3 linked regions of the Schizosaccharomyces pombe genome follow. Changing the gene in region 3 together with the main gene of any one other region gives a genetic interaction. Each region holds a gene or a part of one and is shown on either strand. Other genes may lie near its edges.

Region 1 (7,794 bases), on a different chromosome or scaffold from region 3:
AAGATGAATTGTATCACTTGCTTTGTGACCAATTTGCTACTGTTCCTAGAGAAAATTACGCAAACTTAGTTTCACAATTACATGTTGTACGTGCCCAGTGTAATGCATTGCTCAACACCTTTTTGGATGTAGGGCGTCTTTCTCGTTCAAAAATTCCTTCATTAGCTGTTGTTGTCAAAGGGGATCCCGAAGCTGGCCCAATTGCCTTTGGTATAGCGGATGCTGAAAAACTCGTTGGTCCTACATATGAAAATTTATGCAAGTTGTTGTCCCCCTCTCAAAAAGCGCAATCGTCAAAAGCCCTAAACGAGATAAAATATTTAATAATTGACGAGATCTCTATTTACAAAATTGCAAAAGAAAGACAGGATATTCAGTGTAGTGCTTCAATTGCTTCCGCGATGGTTACATATGATAAGCTTCCGAAAAAGTTAAATTCAATAATTAAGGGTATTATGGAGTCCATAAAAAAGGAACAATTTTCTTGTCTTCAAATGCATTCAGCATCAGCTATGATGAAGTTAATTTCAGCATGCTATAAAGAATCTCGGCAAGTTATTTCTGAGAAAATCGTTAGAAATTTATGTGCTTATGTATGTATGGATACTACTGAAACTCCAATATTTCATGACTCAGGGAAAAATGGAATATTGTCTTTACATAGTATAGGCACAAGCGATGACAACGATGAACAGGTCTCAGGGAAGTTAGTTGATGATTCCGATGATGTAAGTAACGACAGAAAGTCTTCGCTGTCTTCAGTTTCGGATAAGGATGCTGCTGTCTTACAAAGAATGGGTGCGCAGCTAACGCTTCAACAAATGGCTCAAAATTTTGGCAGCTCCCTATTTTCTAGGGTACCCGTGTTGTCCCAGTGTCTATTTGTTCCTTTACAGCAATACGCTGAATCTGGATTTCCTAGTGAAGTTGACCAGGCCAGCTGTACAGTTGGGCAAGACTTACTGGATGCAATGTCTATATTGCGATTTTTAGTTGCGTACTTAGATTCCGGTCTTCAATCTGAAATTGTCAGTACTTTGCCTCATTTACTAGCAACTTTACAATCGAATTATTCCGCCGTACGCAATATGGCATCAAAATGCTTTGCTGCTATTACTGAATCAAATGCTGCGGGATCAAAGGCTCTTCATCTTCTTGTTGAGGATGTTGTTCCACTTTTAGGAGATGCTAGTAGCACAATCCACAGACAAGGAGCTATTGAGTGCATATATCATGTTGTTCAACGTCTAGGAGTCCGTATCCTTCCCTACATACTTTACTTAATTATTCCCTTGTTAGGTCGAATGAGTGATGCTGACCAGGATGTACGTGTGCTAGCTACGACTTCCTTTGCAACACTTGTTAAATTAGTACCACTTGAAGCTGGACTTCCTGATCCGCCAGACTTGCCTCAATATCTACTTGATAGTCGTGAAAAGGAGCGCAAATTTTTAGAACAAATGCTGAATCCTTCTAAGGTCGAAGCATTCTCAATTCCTGTCCCCATCTCTGCTGATTTAAGGAAATATCAACAGGAAGGTGTTAATTGGCTGGCTTTCTTAAATAAGTATGAACTTCATGGGATTTTATGTGATGATATGGGGTTGGGTAAGACTTTGCAAACTATTTGTATAGTCGCAAGTGATCATTATAACCGCCAAAAATTATTTGAAGAATCAGGAAGTCCCAAGTTTGCTCACGTTCCTTCGTTGATAGTGTGTCCATCTACATTAGCCGGCCATTGGCAGCAAGAACTTAGTACTTATGCACCATTTTTGAAAGTGTCTGCATATGTAGGACCTCCAGCGGAAAGAGCAAAAATAAGATCAAAAATGAAGAAGTCCGATGTTGTTGTCACGTCTTATGACATATGTCGGAATGATGTGGATGAATTAGTAAAAATTGACTGGAACTACTGTGTTCTTGACGAGGGTCATGTTATAAAAAATGCACGAGCTAAGCTCACAAAAGCGGTTAAAAGTTTAAGGTCCTATCATCGACTAATTCTGTCAGGAACACCTATTCAAAACAATGTGCTAGAGCTTTGGTCTCTTTTTGATTTTCTAATGCCTGGGTTTTTGGGAACTGAAAAGACATTTCAAGAACGATTTGTTCGTCCTATCGCTGCTAGTCGTGATGCAAAAAGCTCATCGAAAGAGCGGGAAAGAGGCACTTTGGCACTCGAGGCTATCCATAAGCAAGTGCTTCCGTTTATGCTTAGGCGATTAAAAGAAGATGTTTTAGCAGATTTGCCCCCAAAGATAATACAAGATTATTATTGTGATATGAGCGATCTGCAAAGAAAGCTTCTTAATGATTTTGTATCTCAGTTGAACATCAATGAAGAGCTCGAAGATGATGAAACGGAAAAAACTCAAGGTACAAGAAAGAAGAAATCCCAGAAAGCTCATATTTTCCAGGCTTTGCAATACATGCGTAAACTTTGCAATCATCCTGCTTTGATTTTGACAGAGAAGCATCCAAAACGAAATGCCATTGTTAAGCAATTAGCTAAAGAAAATAGTGGTTTACATGACTTAAAGCATGCTCCAAAATTGACTGCACTTGGTCAATTGCTTCGAGATTGTGGCTTGGGTAATTCTTCAGTAAACTCGAATGGTATTGATAGTGCATTAACGAATGCAGTTAGTGAACATCGTGTGTTGATTTTCTGCCAGCTCAAAGACATGTTAGATATGGTTGAGAAAGATCTGTTGCAAGCTACTATGCCCGATGTTACTTACATGCGCCTTGATGGGTCAGTTGAGCCAACCAAGCGTCAAGAGGCTGTTACCAAATTCAATAATGATCCTTCAATAGATGTTCTTCTGTTAACGACTCATGTTGGTGGTCTTGGTCTTAATCTTACTGGTGCTGATACCGTTATTTTTGTTGAGCATGACTGGAATCCCATGCGAGATTTGCAGGCAATGGACAGAGCTCATCGTATTGGACAAAAAAAGGTGGTGAATGTGTATCGTTTAATCACTCGAGGATGTCTTGAGGAAAAAATAATGGGCCTTCAGAGGTTTAAAATGAACGTGGCATCAACGGTTGTTAATCAGCAAAATGCTGGTCTTTCTTCAATTGGAACCGATCAGATTTTAGACCTTTTTAACACTACTGCTGATGAACAACAAACTGTACAAAATATTGACAAAGAAGAATCGGAAGATGCGGCAGGTCGCGGTCTAAGTGGTACTTCTAAAAAGGCTCTTGAAGGGCTTCCAGAAATGTGGGATGAATCCCAATATGATGAATTTAATTTGGATGGTTTCATATCTACTTTACCCAAGGATGCTTCTTGAACAGGAGTTAGTATGGAACCCCCATAAAAAAAATTAATTATTAACTAATGTGAATGGTAATGCAATATGAAAGGTGTACAATAAAATAGGTTTTCTTTTAAGAAACTATGTTTAACTTATCTTTTGTAAGAGTGAGAGGTTTTTTTGATAATATGTAATAAATCTACTTTTTTGTACTTGTAAATATATAGCTACCATCTGCTGATTAGTTCAATCAAAAAAAAAAAAAAAAAAAAAAAAAAAAAAAAAAAAAAACCTTGCGGAGTAAATAACGTTTTTTATAAAATGTTTTATTATTGAATAGTTAAGGACAAGCACGCCATCATGTCAATTGAAGCCTTAAATGAAACTGTGAAAAGTTTGATTTCTATATTCTATTACGAATAAATTCTCGAAACAAATCAATCTCGACCTTAGTGAACGCACAGCTGTATATTAGTTAGTGACTATTAAGAGGTCAAAACCACAGACTTACAATACCGGGACTTGGGACGGGTTTATTCCATCTGGAATTGGACGGGAAAAAGATCGCAATTCTGTGCATAATATAGAGTTAATTCCAGTAACGCTAAGATGCTTTAACGTTTTACAGTTATACATCAAATAACTAACCGACTAATTTGGTTAGAAAAGATAGCATATTTTACATACCTTTGCGGTTAGTCCAATGCAATAAGAAAGATGTACTCGTTCAAGGTTTCTGGAAAAAGACCCACTTAGTAAGATTACAGAAAGGTCAGTAAGGCAAATGCATTTGACCAAACCTACTCTTTGAAGATATGGCAACTTAGCAATAGCACTTACTGCTATATCACTCAAACGAAGGCAACCACCGAAGTCAATGTAAGTTATATTTTTACATGACTTTAGAAGACATTGAACACCAATATCGGTTATCTCATAGCAATGTCCCAAATGAAGAGTCGTTAAAGATTGAGAAAGCTTTGTTAAGCTTAAAAGTGACGAATCAGTCAATCCAATGCATTTGGAAAGAAATAGAGAGTTTAATTTTGAGAACTTACAAGTTATCAATTCTATGTCACTGTCTTTCAAATCTGGTAAATTGTTAAGACTTAATGCCCTCATTGCATCTAATTCACAGTTTAAGTTTAAAAAAGTGATGAAATGTGACAATTCTGTGCAACCATCCATAGATAATTCTTTCAAACCTCGATTTCTGGAGACCAACCTAGACAGCGTATCCGCATTATGAAAGCCTTCACATCCACTAATATCTAATTCAATCAGGTCTTCTTTTTCAGAAAGTATTTGTAATGAGACGTCAGTCAGCTTTCGACAATTCGGTATAATGAGCCGATTTAAGTACGGACAACGTTTTATTATCTGAACCATACCGGTATCTTCTACTAACCCACAATTCCCAATATTCAAAGCTTTTAAATTAGGGCAATTATCAGAAATATATTCAAGTATATTCGCCGGTAAAGAGAAAATATTACTGAAGTTTATAGTAACCAAGTTCAAATTCTGATACAACAGTTTACCAATAAGAGGCTCGGAAATGCGAGTACATCCAGACAAATTCAGACGAGAAATCCCTGTTGCTAATGTCATTAACATTAAATGTTTATCGGTAAGAAATTTCCTAACACGAGAGCAATTCAGCTTGCGCAAATACCTGAAATAGTACGAAACATCCTTGGAGTATTGTAAAGTATCAAAAAAGTTATTTAATTGAGCTTCGTTTTGAAATACTACTTTTTCCCATAAAGTGGGTATAATAAAATTCCTCCATGAAGTACAAACTGTCGATTTGCACCTTAGCTCATCGGCTTCCAAATATGATAATATATTAAAACAAACTTCATTAGGCACCCGCATTGGTAAAGGTAAATTTTTTTTCTATAGGGAATAAATGAAAAATATGTGAGTTGGTAATAAAGCGTAAATTCTTAAAATGATAAATGGATGTAAACAAACAATTTTCATTTCAACTAAATTACGCAGCATAACGTACGCATGTTCCAAATTATCATAGTTAAATCCAGAGACAAACAAATTAATTGACATTAAGAAATCTCAAATACACGATAGATATACTCTAAACATTAAAATTCCGCACGCTTTAGCTTAGCGAACAAAAAAAATTAAAGCTTTATTTTTTTTGCTCTTTTTTAAAATAGACAATAAAGAAATCAATGTTCAACCGTTTTGCGAATAATTTATCAAACGCATTAAATATTACATGTCATAAAGCAAGTATTAATCATAAATTGGCAAGTTAGAGAACTATTCGTATTAGCGACCGCTTTTCTCTAAAATTTCCATATAGGACTTTCTCGTTTTGTCCTTAAGGCGCTTGTTTTTTGAACGAACTCGTTTTCGATCAGGTCGAACAACAATTACGGGAATGGGGCTTTTTTGTAAACAAAATTTGGAAACGCTTCCGCTAGAAAGAAGAGACTGAAAGCTATTTAAGGCTTTGCCACGAGTACCGACAATAAGACTATCAGGTGAATAAACGTGTATAGTACGAAGGATCATATCTTGAGGTTTACCAACCACGAGTTCAACTATTATAGAAACAGCTTTATCATCATCAACTTTCTTGAGTATGCCTGCCATGATATGTTCAGCTAAAGATCTGTAAGATTGTTCATCCGATAAATCCTCCGCTAGCTTGGAAGAAGGATCAATTACTCTTAATACTACTGCTTCATCGTTGTCGGCTAAAAGTGTTTCGAATAACCAATCGACTGCAACTTCAGAATACGAATTGCCATCCATGCCACACAAAAAAGTGCGAGACGTTCTTGTCCACTTGTAAGCTTGATGTTGTGTTTTCAGAGTCAGGGAAAAATCTGTAGCCGCTTTATTATTAAACGTATCGAACGAAATCCTTTTTAGAAAATGTGGACTCGGAGGTGGTGAAACAAGACTATGGGAACGTCCATGATGATATTCCTCAAATTGTGGAGGACAGAATCCAGCCGCCCGAGCAGGTGCCACTGTTACGGAATTTTTTGCAACAGGACGAAACGTTGGCTGTTCCATTGAGCTCCTGGCACTCCGAACCGGCGTAACAGGAGCAGAATGAGATGGTTTTTTAACATCGGTAGAAATGGATAACTTCTGCTGGTCTTTAGAAGTTCGTGGCTCAGGACGAGGGAGATTACCGAATGAAACTCCCTCCTTCGAACCAGCGGGTGCAGATTCACTCATCTAAACTTCTCACTTGATTAAATTTTGGGACTTTTAAACAATCAATTTCTCTGCACAATTTTGCAGACCCTGTACATGAAACAAGGTACTATATTCAACTCTAATTCGGAGTAAATGTTAAAAAATTGAAAGTGGTGCCTTAATTAAACTTGGGAAATTCGTTTATTATTTTCAAATGATATATTAGAAAACTTCTTTTTTCAAAACAAAATGCTTTTATTTGTATAAATATTTAAAAGTTACGATATTTCCTACAACGAAGAGTGAGCTGCCGGAAGTATGTATGTGGTGGACAAATAAGTGAAGTCATGTGTAACGGCCGCGTCAACCCTCCATTCTATTGTGCTAAGCTAATGCCCAAGATCTTAAAACTAACATTATGAGGAAACCAGTGGTGCTTGTTATACTAAATTTTAAACTGAATCAACGTAATTAAATTCTAGTTACTTGATTCTTTCGGTTACCAAATATGTAAGATATTTCCCAATTTATGGTTTGTAGCAGCTGATGAATGTGTATCGGTAATTAAGCTAAAACGTGAAAAAGGTGTTAATAAACATAGCCAGGTTTTTTGTGTAAGTTGTAAGCAATTATTTCTAATTGATAGATGGCTCTTCCTATAACTGCCTTTTCTAGTATTGCTCTGGCTCTGTGCACCGTCTATAATGCCACACAGTATTACCAAATTCCAAAACAATAAAAAAAAAACAATTTTTCAGTGAAAGCATACAATAGTCATGAACGAAATTGGGGCATTGACCATTTAAACCAGTTTGCATCGGTATTATTTGTTATATTAATAAAAAATAGTTACAATTTCTTCATTTTACTACTTTCATAAAGAAATTTTAAAAAATGTTTGGAATCTTAGCTTGCTCAAATGAAGTGTATGTGTAAAATCCAAATTTGTCATGTTGTAAAAATCTGTTAATTTTAAACTTGTTGCTACTAAAAACAACGTCTATGTAGACTAATGTTTGAATTGTCAAATGCGCGTACCTCTCGCCTCTTGAATACCTGAACGAGACCTTTAATTCGAATTTTTACCTACAAAATAGAAGCAACATTGCATAACGACTAGTTTAATATCAAGCAGTGAGCACTTTAACTTTTAAACATTTGGTGATGACCAATCTAATCCTCATATGATATTCAATCAACAATAAATTTATTTAGCCCCATAGACGCCTTCTATTACATGTTTTTGATACATCAATTCTTCAAACAATATAGACACATTCATTGGTTGAAGTTTTGCTAACTATACACCTCTTATCTTCACTAATTTGATTTGTATTATTTA
Region 2 (8,550 bases), on a different chromosome or scaffold from region 3:
GATGACATGAAAAAGAACCGATTTTTTTGATACTTTTGCAAAATCAATTGTTCTGACATCGCAGTAATTTCTAGATGAATTCGCTGTAATGCTGATTCCATAGCAGCAACTCTGTTCTGTTGTTGCTTTAATATTGATAATTGTAGTTGAACGTTTTGGTTAACTGCAACGAAAATTAAATTATCTGGATTCTTCTTAACAATGGTTTGAGATTTGTTTGGTTCTATAGTTAACTGAGACGTGATAGGAGATATTTTGTTAGAACGGTCAACAGTTTGTGTACTATCAGAAACATCTGCAGGGATAAATTCCGTTGCTTCAACTTTTCCTTGTAACACTATTTCCCATAGCTGCTTAGTAGTAATAAACGAAGATTTTGGCATGATCATACTCGCCGTATTCGCAAGAACCTGATTATCCTGCATGCCTACAAAAAAAACGCATTTCAGGCTCTGACAAGTATGATGAATTACAAAAATAAAATAAGAAGCTTCTCCAAATATCTTATAAAACACAGAAACAAATGTTTTTGAAGATTTAAGAGAGTCGTGGTAGAGGAGGTATGAATTAACAAAAGAACTGTCAGTAAGTATTCAGTCAACTAAGGAATACATATCTGAAAACTTGCGCGCAATGTAAAATAGGTAAATCAATCAATATTTTTAACAATATCAGCAAGTTTAAGTGCATAAAATGGTTTTACGCCATCGTTGAACCTATATTTTAATTTTAAACAATTGTCATCATAAATTGTATTGGAAAATTTTTTTAATACTTAACTTCTTACTGAACATTTGGATATTTCTTAGATATACAATTAACTCAAGCTATTAATTCATTTAATATTAACATGAATTTTGATTACCTAGTATATATATTATATTCTATAAAATTGATAACCGATTTATAACACGAGTCAGATTAATATTGATAATATTGTGAACCTCACTAACAAAGCTTTTACTAACTATAAATATTAAGTCGTATTAGTCAAAGTAATGAGTTTAAAAAAGAATCAACTACGTGCTATTTTAAATAGCAGTTTAGGCAAACTTGCGGATCATATTATTGATTCTCAATGTAAGTATACTTAAAATATCAAGCTTAACAATTAAATGCATAAAGCAATTTCCATTTGCAAACAAGTGGTCGAATTACCCGAATGGAAAAGATGCAAAAATGTCTGTCTGTACATGAACATGCCAAAAAAAGAAGTACGAACTAGATGCCTTATAGACGTGGCTTTCAAAGAAGGTTAGTATTAAATCTTTCAATACATTACTAATCATGCAAAAATAGGCAAAAATGTTTTCATACCTAAATGTATTGGTTCGCATGTAATGGAAATGTATCAAGTTTTCGAGAAAACTGAGTCCTTGACGATTAACAAATGGGGTATTGCTGAGCCCAATGGAGAATCAAGAAAGAGTTGGTTAAAATTCTGGTAGAATTGTTCAATCTATTAATCATATTTAGTTATGGATGATGAAACAGACTGTGAACTTATAATAGTTCCGGGAGTCGCTTTTGATGAAAAATTATCTAGACTAGGGCATGGAAAGGGGTACTATGACAATTACATTTCCAAGTATCAAAGCTGGGCGTTACAAAAGGAATCACGAGCTAACATGTTCAAAGGTTCGTTTCCAATCTCGCTGTGTAATTCATATAAACAACTAACGTGACCAGTGGGAATTTGCCTTAAAGAACAAATACTTCCAAATCGAGAAATCCCAATGGATACCAGAGACCAAAAACTGGATGCCCTTGTTACGCCGGAAAAAGTAATCAGAAATATATAGTACAAAATCTTATTCTTATCTGCAAGTTGCAATTTAGATGACTACGTATTAATATTTATGGACTAATAATAAACAAATTTTAAGTCCCCTTAAATCTCTGGTAAAATATTTTCGTACGGCGGAGAAGTCAATCCAAACGACCACTAGAAGACTGTTCACGATAATCCGAAAAGCAAAACCTATTCCAAAACAGAACAAACTTAAGTTCATAATCTAAGACAAATACAAGAAATCGTCCCAAGGGTGACGATAAAGAGGTGCCCTAAGACGTTTCTGATCGAGATGATGACCAATAAGACCAATACTACGTCCCAACACGAACATACCATTCAAGATACCCAAATTGATATATTCATTAGCTTCTTCAAGAGTGAAAGCACCACAGTTACGAAGTAAATCGACAAAGCATACAGCAATACAGCCATCAACGTTCAAGATAAGGTTATCCTTCTTGGAAGTAGTGACATTCTCTACGGCCAAAGCGTAATCTAAGAGCTTAGTTGAAGGGAAATTCTTTTTAACGTAACCCTTGACCAATTCAACACGAAGATCAGGATTATTTCTACTCTTAATTCTATGTCCAATACCAGGAATCAATTTGTTGGCCTTACGGCAAGAGTCAACAAAAGCACGTGGAGATAACCCTGCGTCATAAGCTTTAGAAAACTCTTGAGCAGCTCCATCAAGCGCACCACCGAATCGGGTACCGATAGTAAGCAAACCGGCAACAAGTGAAGAAATCAAATCTTTTCCTGCTCTGGTAGTAATAATGGTATTCATAGCGCCAGACACACATGGTCCGTGATCAGCCGTCAATTGAAGGACCATTTCCAAGAACTTTGTAGCATATGAAGGTAAGCGGCGACGCAACCATAAAAGAGAAATGACACCACCAATTCCAAGTTCTTCTTCAAAAACCTTAGAGATGGGAACGTTGTTATAAGTCAACTCAGAACCACGGTCGTTGGAGATAGTGCAAATGAAGGAAGAGGGCTTACGAACCAAGCCTAATTCCTTAGCCCAAGCATAATCTAAAGGAATGTTAGGTGGTGCGACCTCAGGTTGAGGAACAATAACACCCTTTTTCACAAGACCCTCATAAACCTCTTGTAGCAACGCAGGAAGCTTTTCAAATGTTTCAGGAACATATATACCAGCTTCTCTCATAGCCTGATTCTTGGCGACAGCAGTCTCCAACTCAGAGTTGGCAAATGAACCAGCATGTCCAAATTGAACCTCGGTTTTAAACATACTAGAGCATGTACCAATAGCCCAAGCAACAATAGGCTTTTTAATTGTACCGTTCTTAACAGCTTCAATGACACGGTATTCTTCCACTCCACCTACTTCGCCTAGAAGTACCATCAGCTTGCAAGCGGGATCAGCTTCGAAGCGGATAAGATGATCAATAAAAGTAGTACCTGGATAACGGTCACCTCCAATAGCAATACCCTCATAGACGCCATCAGTGGTATGCGAAATGATATTGTTTAACTCATTAGACATACCGCCTGACTTGGAAACGTATGCAACAGATCCAGGACGATAAAGCTTGGAAGCTACAATGTTGTCCATCATACCACCAGTATTTCCGATTTTGAAACATCCTGGTTTAATACCACCAACGGTAGCAGGCCCAATAATAACCACATTCTTCTCCTTAGAGGTTACCAATATCTCACGAGCACGGCGCTCAGGGACACCTTCCGCAATAATTGCAATACAGCGAATTTGAGGAAACTCCATCAACTCCATAGTTGAGGCATAAGCACTACGGCTCGAAGCAAAATTAACAACGACGTCAACCTCAGGATGTTTGGTACATGCCTAATTATTTCAGTTAATAAATCTTTTAAGATTAGAAAATTTTTTTTATTAGTGATAATGCTAGTCGCAGCATTTCTATTTTCTGCAAAATAATCGAAATTGAATTCAAACTTAAAGAAAATAGTCTTACTGTGATTTAATCATTTCCGTCTGCGATTTGTTGTAGAAAACGAATCACTGATGTAATATCGAAAATCAGCATGAACATCTTTTGCTAAAACGCTTATTTGCAAACTAATAAGCATATTTATGCGGACAACTTACTTCTTCAATTGTACGATAAACAGGCAACAGAATTTCTTTAGTACCCCAATAAAGCTTGCTGATACTTTGACTTCCTAAGCACGCGTTAGTATTCAAATTTTTATATCAACGAAGCACATACCGAACGTATATATGATAGCAGCTACAGATGGAACAGTTCTACCACACATATAATCAAAGTCAAGCATTCCTTGAACAGCCTTTGTCTGCATGCCATACACAAAGGCTCTGGTGTCCTTGGAAAAAAGCTCATAAGAAGGTTTATCCACTGATCCCGCCATTGTTGTTCTTGTCACTGTGTTGGAGGAGGTAAGGAACGTTCGCTCATTGTTTTGCTGAACACTTTTTTACATTTAACGAGATGTTTGCGATAATTGAAATTTTGAAAATCAGATAACGCAATCAAGCGATACTTTTTATACATTCACTGATCAACGGTGCGTATGCCTTAAGAATATTTTTTTATGCTTTTATTAAGCAATAATATTATCCTTAAATAAGCATAGTAGGATATAAGAAAATACGTATTCCTAAAAGATTTTATTAACAAAATTAAAGTAACCTCTATTTTGAATTATAAAAATTCCCACCAAAATCCCTTGAATCCTCCTCCTTTTTTTACTTCGGAAGATTGATGAAGCATGTAATAAATAGATGAAGGACATGACTATATGCAGATGCAAAAATTTAACTAACGTATATTTTTCTACTTTTTCCCTCTTAGTAAACTACTAGGTGTATCACATTTCCATGAGTGATAATCGCATGGCTAGTTCAATCTGCTCTTGTTCGTTCAGTTCAGCAACATTCGCTTGTTCTTGCGGTGGCTCATGATTTGAACTTAAAGCATTTAATGACGATGTAGCTTGTTCATCGTTTTCTTTAAAATCTTCTTCTATTTTATCAACATCCATGGAGAGCTGAACCATTCTCTTAGCTTCCTCTTCTTGTGAAAGCATGGTAACATATGCTATGATTTCTTCTTCACTTAAACCAACCAAGCCCTCACCAAAATGCTGTTCAAATTTTTGCCGGGCTTCCATTTTTTCTCGTCTTTCCTGAGCAATTTGGTCCAAACCTAACATGATTTCTCTTTCGACTTCATTTTTTGAGTAGTCAGACGACTTCGACAGATTATCGTGTGTCACCGAAGGTCTCAAGGGTAAAACCTTGGACCTTTTATTAACAAAAGGTTTGGGAATTGTATAAGACCAAGATTTGACATGCTTGCTCATGGTGATCACACCTTTCAAACTTAACGGATTTGAGTCAAGCAGTATGCAATTAATTGGTTCTCTTCTAGCAGCATTCCTGGCACTCGCTATTTTTTTCAAAAAATTCCCAGTAACGGTATCGTATACTCCGCAATAGCCGCTAGCCGACCCTACTACCATTGCAACTTCATTCAAGTAAATATCGGTAATAGGAAAATTTGAGTATGCAGTAATAGTTCTAAGAATGGCCTTGTTAGGATCTTCAGTGCGAGTGTTTACAACATAAACCAAACCATTTTCATCACCAACAGCGAGCAGTCTTGCTCCTCTACCAGGAGTTGATTTTGACAACACACGATCGTTCGTATCTAAGGAGATTGAGGTTGGTTTTCCGTTGAGAGGAATTGAAGATGTTTGAACGCCGACATTATCGTTTTTCTCCAAAAATTCTTTAAATGAAACTCGACAAATACAATTTTTCGGTGCGCCCCTGGACAAGAAGGCAACACCGGCACAGCAATCTGCCGTCATCAGACAAGGAGGTTCCTCTTCATCAGTTAACACACATTTTCTGGACGATAAAAGTATAGGCTGCTCATTCTTTCGGGAGCGAGCATAGCCCGGTATTAAGTATAATTGATATGAGTTAAGTTCATAATTAAAAGTGTCAACGAGTAGCATTTTGTATTTCGGCCTGAAACACAAAGAAAGGATTTGTGAAGAACGGAATTGAAATGATTGAAGACTAACACCTGTTTTAACATCCCAGCAATGCACGGATCCATCATCTGATCCAGTAACCATACCGATTTCCCCAGTGGGGGGCAAATCACCGGTTAATGCATCAATGCATGTAACTGAATCAGCATGGGAATCCAGACAATAACGAAATTTTCGAGGAGTCTCGGCTTGACGTGACATCAAAATAACTCCAACGCGACCATCCATAAAACCAAAGCCAAAAATTTGTTTCCCCAATGTCATTGTAGATAATCCATGCGTAAAGCTGCCATCAGTACTAGCATGTAATAAAGACCTCTCAACCTTTCCAGTGGTAGGGTCGGAAACGGAGATTGTTCCAGTAAGCCAATTTCCTGAATAAAGCCTTCCTGAAGAAAAGTCGTAATAAAGGTTGGTCAATTGTCCAACGCGACAATCATACTGAACTGTTTGCCCTTTCCCTTTTTCATAAGCTCTAGTAATGGTAGAACGTAAAAGATATTCTTGCCGCCATGTTCCATTACCTAGTGGACTAAATATTTGCGACTGATCACCCGCAAAGTGATGAAAAAAAGCAGTACGCCAACTTAAATCATCGGATAATAACTTTTTCCAATATTTGCAAGTGCATTGAGCAGAAAGTAAAGAGCGAGGATCAAGAAACGAAAATATAATGATCAAAATTTCTAGAAAAAGTTAACAAAATCTCGAAAACTAAAATTGAATGTGTGAGAATTTACCTTTTGGCAGGTTTAAAACTGTTCTATTCGTATTATTTGAAGAATGATCCCGATTCATTCTCCTTAGGTTTGAGGATGTAAAATCCAAAGATGTTGGTTCCGATTTCATTGGTCTTGGCGTTTTGCCTTAGTATATAAAGTGGAACTTACTACGTGTACCAACGTATCGCTCAGAAAACGTCCTGTAATCATTAATTAACGAGCATTTTATATTCGAAAATTAATGTTTGCTTGTATCTTTTGATAGATTAATTAAAATGCTTTTATCTACATCCAAATTGAAATGAAAATTTAAAACAGTAACCAAAAAAGCTGAATATATTAACCCTATGCTAGTCCCTAACACCAGAAATACCTAATAAAATGAATAAATGATTTTACTGAACATGCAATTGTGCAATATGGTTTCATTAAAACCATCATTCCTTCTCTTCTTCTTCTTCTTCATAGTTATCAGATAAATCATCACCATTTTCTTTTCTTTTTTCTTCTTCTTGTCTATATTTTTCTAGTTCTTTAGATTGTTTCTTATTAAATCCTGAAGCCTCAATCATGATATCCAAATTATTTTCCTTTTCCATTTTCGATATGTCTTCGAAATTAGGAACATCACCTTTGTATTGATAGTTTTTTTCAAAATATTGCACAATGCACTGTACGTCTCTATCAAAATAAAATTGCGCATCAGGATGACTAGTAGATACCATTTGCGGAAAATCAATTACAACAGCTGTTCCATCTTCACGAACAATGATGTTAAATTCGTTGAAATCACCATGTATTAACCCATTCCTTGCAAATCGAACGATAATATCCATTAATGTCTGATATAGAGCAGGTGGATCACGAATGTCAGTAACAGCACGAAGAGGAAACGCATCAATCATTTCCATGATAATACAATGCCTGGAATGATCAATTGGAGCAGGTACAGGGAAACCATGCTCATGCAAGATCTTCATAAAAGCAAATTCTTTTGTGGCAGCTAATCGAGACAGATACTGCCATGATCCAGTTTTACGATTTCTCAAATAATCTCTATTGTTTTTTACACTCCGGAAAGATATACGCCCAAGCCTGTGGATTTTTAAGATATATTGCTTTCCTTTTTGGTCTCCTACGACGTAGACATCAGATTCTTTACCGACGCCTATTTGATTACCGACAGAGTAAACGGATGCTCTCTTTGACAAGGCCTTCAATGCCAAGTAATCATATCCCGCATATGTTAGTCGATAGCCCTCATAGCTGATATGCGGCACCTTTGCAATTAATTTATGCATAAACAAAACGGACAATGATTTCGTACAAGAGCCACCGCGTATTTTAGCAATTTGATTAATCATATTCGTTGGAACAACTTCATGATTACGGCTTCCCATTTCTACCTATAACTTGTTAGTTCGAATACTTATTGAAATCAAAATATAATTAATTGAATGCATCATATCGTATGTGTCAATAAGTAAGAAAATACAAAACATTGTACGATCAAAACGATTTAAGCTATATGACTGCCCAAAGATAAAATAAAGTGCTTACAGCTGTCAGAGTGCGAAAATCCTCGGCAGAAAGATATCTCATTGCTTTTATATTCAAATTTACCATCTTGACGAGCTTAACTTTTTTTCTTGCTAAAAATAAAAAAATAAGTAAGAATGCTAATCAAAGTTCAATTCCGACAATCACTAAATTGTGGTTCTCGTCAAAATGGTTGGTGTTTTGGCTAAGTGTGCTTAAAGTATTACTTGCCATCTGAGAAACATTTTTTACTTCACGCTTTAAAATTATGTAACCACAAAAATGAATACCAACTTTTTTAAAATATGAGAGCTATACACAATTTTGTCTTTAAATATCTTATTTAAGCATTTCTCAATAATTTATTAATTAGGATTACTTAAAATATACATTAAACCTTCCCTTTGATATAAATAACATAAAATTAAAATACTGACAGTAACGAAACGAATAAAAAAGGCC
Region 3 (5,752 bases):
AAAAACGAAAATTTAGTGTATATCTAAAATTTATTTAAGCTCCTTCTCGATTTATACAATTGCATACATCGCATGGAAATTGGCTTCAAAAGGAATTTGAATTACCATTTTGAGGCCTAATTACACTAACTCAGGAAACGTATTCGGTGGATAAATTTTTAAATAATATCCAAAAGGACTAATTGAGAAAAACCAGTCCTTAATAGATGTGAACGTACCTGAGCAATCGAAAAATTAATACATACAGCAAAAATTCGTCAGAGAAAGACTTGAAACAATAGCACCTTTAACAATAGATCGCTTAAACGTATAGACGGCGAACAAAGCAAAAACAATAGCAAGTTGCTCAAGCAAACATCAAGTATGTTGCGAAAGTTTACTTCACAAAGCTAAATCTTCAAAAGCTAAATTGTAAAATGAAATGTATGTCAATAAACTTGTAATGCTAATTTAACGAAAGGAAGTCTAACCGAATAATGATTAAATAAACAATGTGTGAAATCAAAGGATCACACATCCAATAATTAAGGTTAGAGCTTGAAATTTTAATAATGAATAGTGGATGCGTATTAAATTTGTTCATTATCAGGAACACCAAAATATTCGTCGAACCTTTGCTGGAAACTCATCATCATTAACAGGTTCTTTTAGCAAAGTGATTTCATCCTTGGAATTACCACAAAACTATTGCACGATGAGCTTTTGATCATCAGGAATTTCAATTTGGGACTTGAGAGGTTCACCAAATTCGGCAGAGCTAGAATTTTCAACACCAAACTTGATAAAGACACCGGGCCATGTAGATTCTTCGTCATTATCATCTGGTTGACTAGATGATATGATTTTAATACGTTTACGAAGTGGAACCTTTTCCCATGATAAGAAACAATGTGCACCTGCTGGCACTTTAATGGGTTCAAACTCCTTCAATGGAAGACTAACATTTTCTTCAAGAATCCGTAATTCAATTCCTTCAGGAACATTTGCTGGCAAAATGAGGACATTCTTCTTAAAGGTAAATATCTGAGATGTGCCTTCTTCGGTAAAAAGGTCTGTTTCAACTAAATCACATACGAGTGTGTTTGAATCAAACTCAGCAGATATGCTAGAGGTAAATGTGGTGCATATACTCTTTAATTCAGGATCTTCTACGGTCCTAAAGACTACGGACATGCTTAAAATGTTAGTAAGGAAGAAATTGGTAGTTGTTGGAAAATCATCGACTTGGGTACGTGTAATGTGCGAATGCCACACCATAGACGTCAACTATAAGTCAACGGGAATTTTAATAGATCAGTTCATTAAAAAATCCTTCTTAAAAATTCATAAATGATAAAAGGAGAAACGAGGTCGTAAGACCAAAAGCATATTCATTAAACTGACACGAACATATACTGTGTAAACATAAGTAGACTATTAATTCTATGAATCGGAACAATTATTTTTTTGTTCCATTTTTAAGGTTATCTCTCTCCAGAAGCACTGGTTTTATGACCTCTTCATCAAAGCGCGTTAACCATTGAGCTTGATCATCTCGTGAAGAATGGAAAAATTGGTTGAAAGCACCAGCTGCTCGTTGGTATTGCTCAAATGTGCTTGAAACCTTCTTAGAAAGTGTAGGTGCAATGTTGCCTTCATCAAAATGTTCCGTCGTAAATTGTTGGTCGACAACAACTGGTTCAGCAGAAGCGTCTGATAGCTCCATTGCGCTATTTTCCAAATCAAACTCTGGTGACTGTTGCCAAGGTAGCATGCCGATTTCTGTGTCACTGTCAACATCAGCCGCTACACCAGTTTCAATATGCAAAATTTCGAGCATTCTGGCAGTAGTACCGCCAAATATAATTAGGGTCAAGACGACAACAACCAATGTAGTCGCTCGCAGCGTTTGAGCATTTTCTCCTTCAAAGCCTGCTGCCAACGCTACTCCAACTGCACCTCGTAGGCCCGCCCAAAAAAGCATCATTTGGTAACTGTAAGGTATATGATCAATGAGGTTACCATTTCTCTGACGGTGGAATTTGTTGAGCAAATTGCTCAATGGAAACACGTTCATGTATCTAGATGCGGTAACGGCAACCTTAGGCAAGTTAGTAAAGAAAATAAGTGTAAATTGACTTACTGTGGTAATCAGAATAAAAATTGGTTTGTAAACCAAGTCAACCTGGGTAAACAGAGACATGCCAAGATAAATGAAGATAAAGTTTTCCGAGAGTTGCGCAAGAACCCGAAAAACATACTTCGTGCTAAGCTTTGCTTTATATGACATGTTGAAAAAGGCATAGTGCTTTAGCGTTATTCCACAAAACAATAAGGAAACTACGCCTGACATGTGGCAGCCGTTTGAAAAAAAGTAGGAGGTGTATGCCATGAGGAGAATAATACAAGACTCTATAGAAGGATAACGGCGTAAATAAGAATACTTTAGCAAAAGCGCAGTTATGAGCCCAATAGAAACTCCAATAAGTAAACTAATAAAGAATGTGATAATAAAAATTCCAATACCGCTGAATAAGGTAAAAAAATGTAAAGTTTTTCCTTGAAATTGCTGCAGCGTCTCAAACATTACGATTGCAACAGCATCATTAAGGATACTCTCTCCAAAAATAATAGTATACAACTTTTGATCCACCTTATACGAGTTGAAAATAGCAAGCACAGTAACTGGATCTGTAGCGGACAAAGTTGCACCCATAGACAAGGCTTCAACAAAAGTCATAGAAAGGTTTTCAAAATTAAGAAAGGAGAAAATGTAGACTAGGACTCCCAGGGTGACTGCAGATATAAAGGTACCAGCAAAGGCAAATGTTAGAATTGTACCAATGTTACGAAAGAAATTTGACTATATTGGTTAGAAAAGTATAACAAAAAGATAAAGGAAAGAAATGGAGACTTTAGTATAGCATTTCACTCAAAACTATATACCTGATGCAATTCATAACCGGAATTGAGAATAATCGGGGGAAGCAAAACATTGAAGAAATATGTGGAATGAAAAGAAACCATGTTCTGGATAATCAATCCCGGAGAAACGCGAATGATAAGCCCAACAACCATACCAACAAATACCGAAATTACAGTTTCATGAATGGCCCGGATCTTTTTGGATTGAACATAGTAACTAGTAAGCAAGGCACCAATCAAAAGGACTAGTAATATGAAAAGAGCCCAGCTTGAGTATAATTCTTGCAAAGCAGGGTCTTGACCATCATCGTCGTCGTCATCGCCATCTCGACGAAAAACTAAAACATTGTCAGAATAAAAGTTGAAAAATAATTTTGGTAACTAAACAATAAGCTATACGGAGAATAACCCAATGCTTAGAATCTGGCATTGCTTAATTAAAAGACGCCAAATTAAAGAAAAAAGAAAGGCGAAAGATTTTACATTGCTGGCTGCAAATGCAAATGTTATATAAAGAGAAAAACATCATTCGAAGTTATTCAAAGTAACGTAACGCATAACCGCTAATTCAATGCCAAAATGTATTGACGAACTGAATGCTAGTAAAGAGCGATCGAGATCCTATCCCAAAACGATTAAGCAGAAAAAAAGACTGACAAATAATGGAAGAAAAAAAAGGCAAGCATTTCGTATGGTAAAACTCCAAACTCAATTTTTTGTTCAGTTAAAAAATGCACGTTTTCAAAATGGCTGATGCTATAAATGAGTAGCTTGTGTCATTCATCCGTATAGCCTGTTATAGTATTCGATTTACTATATGTGCACCTGAAAGTAAAGAATAACGGAAACTTACCATTTATAAGAATTGTATCAAGCATATAAAGCACCAAGTGAAAGGTAAACTAACTTTTTTTTAACAACCTGGCGATGCTGAGAGTTGACTAGAGTACTCTAAAGGCAATAATAGAAAAATAATTAAGAATTGAAGCAACCGGCAGTACCTTTCTGTATATAGTAAGGACGTTAAGTGGGTTTACTAGTACAAATACTACTACCACAGCAAGATACCAGAACCTAATGCGCAGCCGAGATGTGCGGGCTAAAATGTTAAGATAACTTAAGTCAGTGTACTAAAAATATTAATAGTGACACGAAAGTAATCACTATAAGATGTTTCGAAGTAAAAAAAATGTATTTAAATTATATTATGGAGTCCCTAAACGTAGGTTAGGGAAATACCTAGCGCAAAAGGGAAGCAAGGAATCCTAGAAACTATTGAATGAAGAAGGAAGAGAAGGGAGAGATTGATATATGCAATAATAAAAATATTTCTCAAGCTTTATGATGACCTATATTAAGATTTTGAAGGAGGATTGTTTTGTTTGGAAGCAACTAGAGAGCTTTTAGGAGATTGTTGATCGATGACAATAACACGAGAGTTTTCAGGTAATTCTTCATATCCAGGATCAGATTGGGTATCCAAATATGGGTTCTTCATAGCTGGACAAGGCAGTAATGAAGGGAAAATTACGGTGGCAGTTGCGAAAAGAGCAGTCGTTCCGAACATCAAGTTCACGAGTGACCTTTTCTGTGAAGCTTTCAAAGTACGAAACATTAGAAAGAAATTTTTAAGAACAAAAAAACATGAGAAAATTATAAAAAACAGCTAAATCGTAAGAAGAAGAGACGATTGTTGAAGATGAGTTACAAAACTTCTACTAAGGTACCATATGGATAGAGAATATCCCAATGGCCAATGACCAATGAGAGTATAAGGATCTCTTCAGAAGGCACAATTCAATGTATGACTAAAACAGTAAAGACTGTGAGTTATTGATGTTTAATAAAAAATAAACATTCTTTAATTACTAATTTTTGTGTCTTTAGTTTAAATTGTCAGAAACAAAAACGAGATATTCAGAAATTAAATAAAGAAGGACCTGTATAAGCAATACAAGAGCATTTTTATGGTAACAACAAAAACATATGTCGGGTCCAACAATTAGAAAATAACAACAGTAATGCTTTGCTTTTTTCAATATTAAGGATCTGCAATTCCTTCATTTCCTTGGTAAACAAATAGCCAAAGTGTTTGGCCTTCTAATAAGCAAGCTGAAGTATATATGATTATTAAAATAGAGTCTAAAATAGGATAATTGAGTAAAATATTTGCACGGAATTTAAATAATGGCGTTGAATCGATGAATGTAAGTTTTTTAAACCTTTGTGTGCTTCAAAGAAAAAACTTCTGGATCTTAAAATTCCAACAGTTTACAATTCTTTTTTTTATGGAATTTTTTAAAGAATAATGTCATTTTCACATGCAAAACCTTTGCCATATCAAAAGGAAAATTCTCGTTAAACAGAAAAGAGTAAGGAACCAGCAGCAGAAAAACATTAAGGGTATGTTTTATTCAAGATGAAGAATTAACAAGGTATTGCAAAATTATTGGAAGTCTAGTATTTAATCAAAGTACTGCATTTGATCTTATGCACACAGTCTATCTATTACTTCCGGGTAAAATCGGATGTTTCAATTAACATTTAGTAAATATTGTAACTCATTAGCCTAAAAGAGGAGGAACAATAAAAATCTTGATATTTACATACCGGAATTCAAAATAAAAGACTTGGTGTTGAAGAGAAACGATATCTCGTTTTCCTATTCAAATGTTGAGCTCGAAGGCTATTAAAACATATTTTGAATGTTATTTAGGTAGTTTTTGCTTACTTATTGATAGATGTATGAATTCAATTAATTTATTAGCAAAACTTGTATTACATGAGAATTATGAAATCATATTGAGGAAGGTAGAATTGACTTCATATATCGTGTGTACCGGCACTG

The links.
Region 1: mutations in SPOM_SPAC15A10.06 (region 3) and pof2 together harm fitness more than expected from each alone (negative genetic interaction), as found in Schizosaccharomyces pombe (one large-scale study listed by BioGRID).
Region 2: mutations in SPOM_SPAC15A10.06 (region 3) and pof10 together harm fitness more than expected from each alone (negative genetic interaction), as found in Schizosaccharomyces pombe (one large-scale study listed by BioGRID).

Annotation. Positions count from the first base shown.
Region 1 is NC_003423.3:2,615,218-2,623,011, reverse strand, and holds pof2 (F-box protein Pof2), read right to left. Parts: upstream 5,151-7,794; coding exon 3,960-5,150; exon of another isoform or gene 3,924-3,959; coding exon 3,784-3,923; exon of another isoform or gene 3,737-3,783; coding exon 3,676-3,736; 3' UTR 3,536-3,675; downstream 1-3,535. Other genes in the region: TATA-binding protein-associated factor Mot1, read left to right, coding at 1-3,308; SPOM_SPBC25B2.10 (Usp (universal stress protein) family protein), read right to left, coding at 5,568-6,491. UniProt on the Schizosaccharomyces pombe protein: Involved in substrate recognition in ubiquitin-dependent degradation.
Region 2 is NC_003423.3:2,923,638-2,932,187, reverse strand, and holds pof10 (F-box/WD repeat protein Pof10), read right to left. Parts: upstream 6,675-8,550; 5' UTR 6,626-6,674; coding exon 6,568-6,625; exon of another isoform or gene 6,514-6,567; coding exon 4,634-6,513; 3' UTR 4,398-4,633; downstream 1-4,397. Other genes in the region: SPOM_SPBC1703.09 (uncharacterized protein), read right to left, coding at 1-425; fau1 (5-formyltetrahydrofolate cyclo-ligase), read left to right, coding at 999-1,080, 1,126-1,254, 1,300-1,428, 1,477-1,638, 1,690-1,802; acl1 (ATP citrate synthase subunit 1), read right to left, coding at 2,016-3,629, 3,894-3,967, 4,015-4,174; rio2 (RIO family protein kinase), read right to left, coding at 6,987-7,955, 8,110-8,175. UniProt on the Schizosaccharomyces pombe protein: Probably recognizes and binds to some phosphorylated proteins and promotes their ubiquitination and degradation.
Region 3 is NC_003424.3:3,686,812-3,692,563, reverse strand, and holds SPOM_SPAC15A10.06 (CPA1 sodium ion/proton antiporter), read right to left. Parts: upstream 3,918-5,752; 5' UTR 3,783-3,917; coding exon 3,758-3,782; intron 3,243-3,757; coding exon 2,926-3,242; intron 2,843-2,925; coding exon 2,123-2,842; exon of another isoform or gene 2,081-2,122; coding exon 1,439-2,080; downstream 1-1,438. Other genes in the region: SPOM_SPAC15A10.07 (uncharacterized protein), read right to left, coding at 685-1,173; cytochrome C oxidase assembly factor Coa2, read right to left, coding at 4,259-4,519.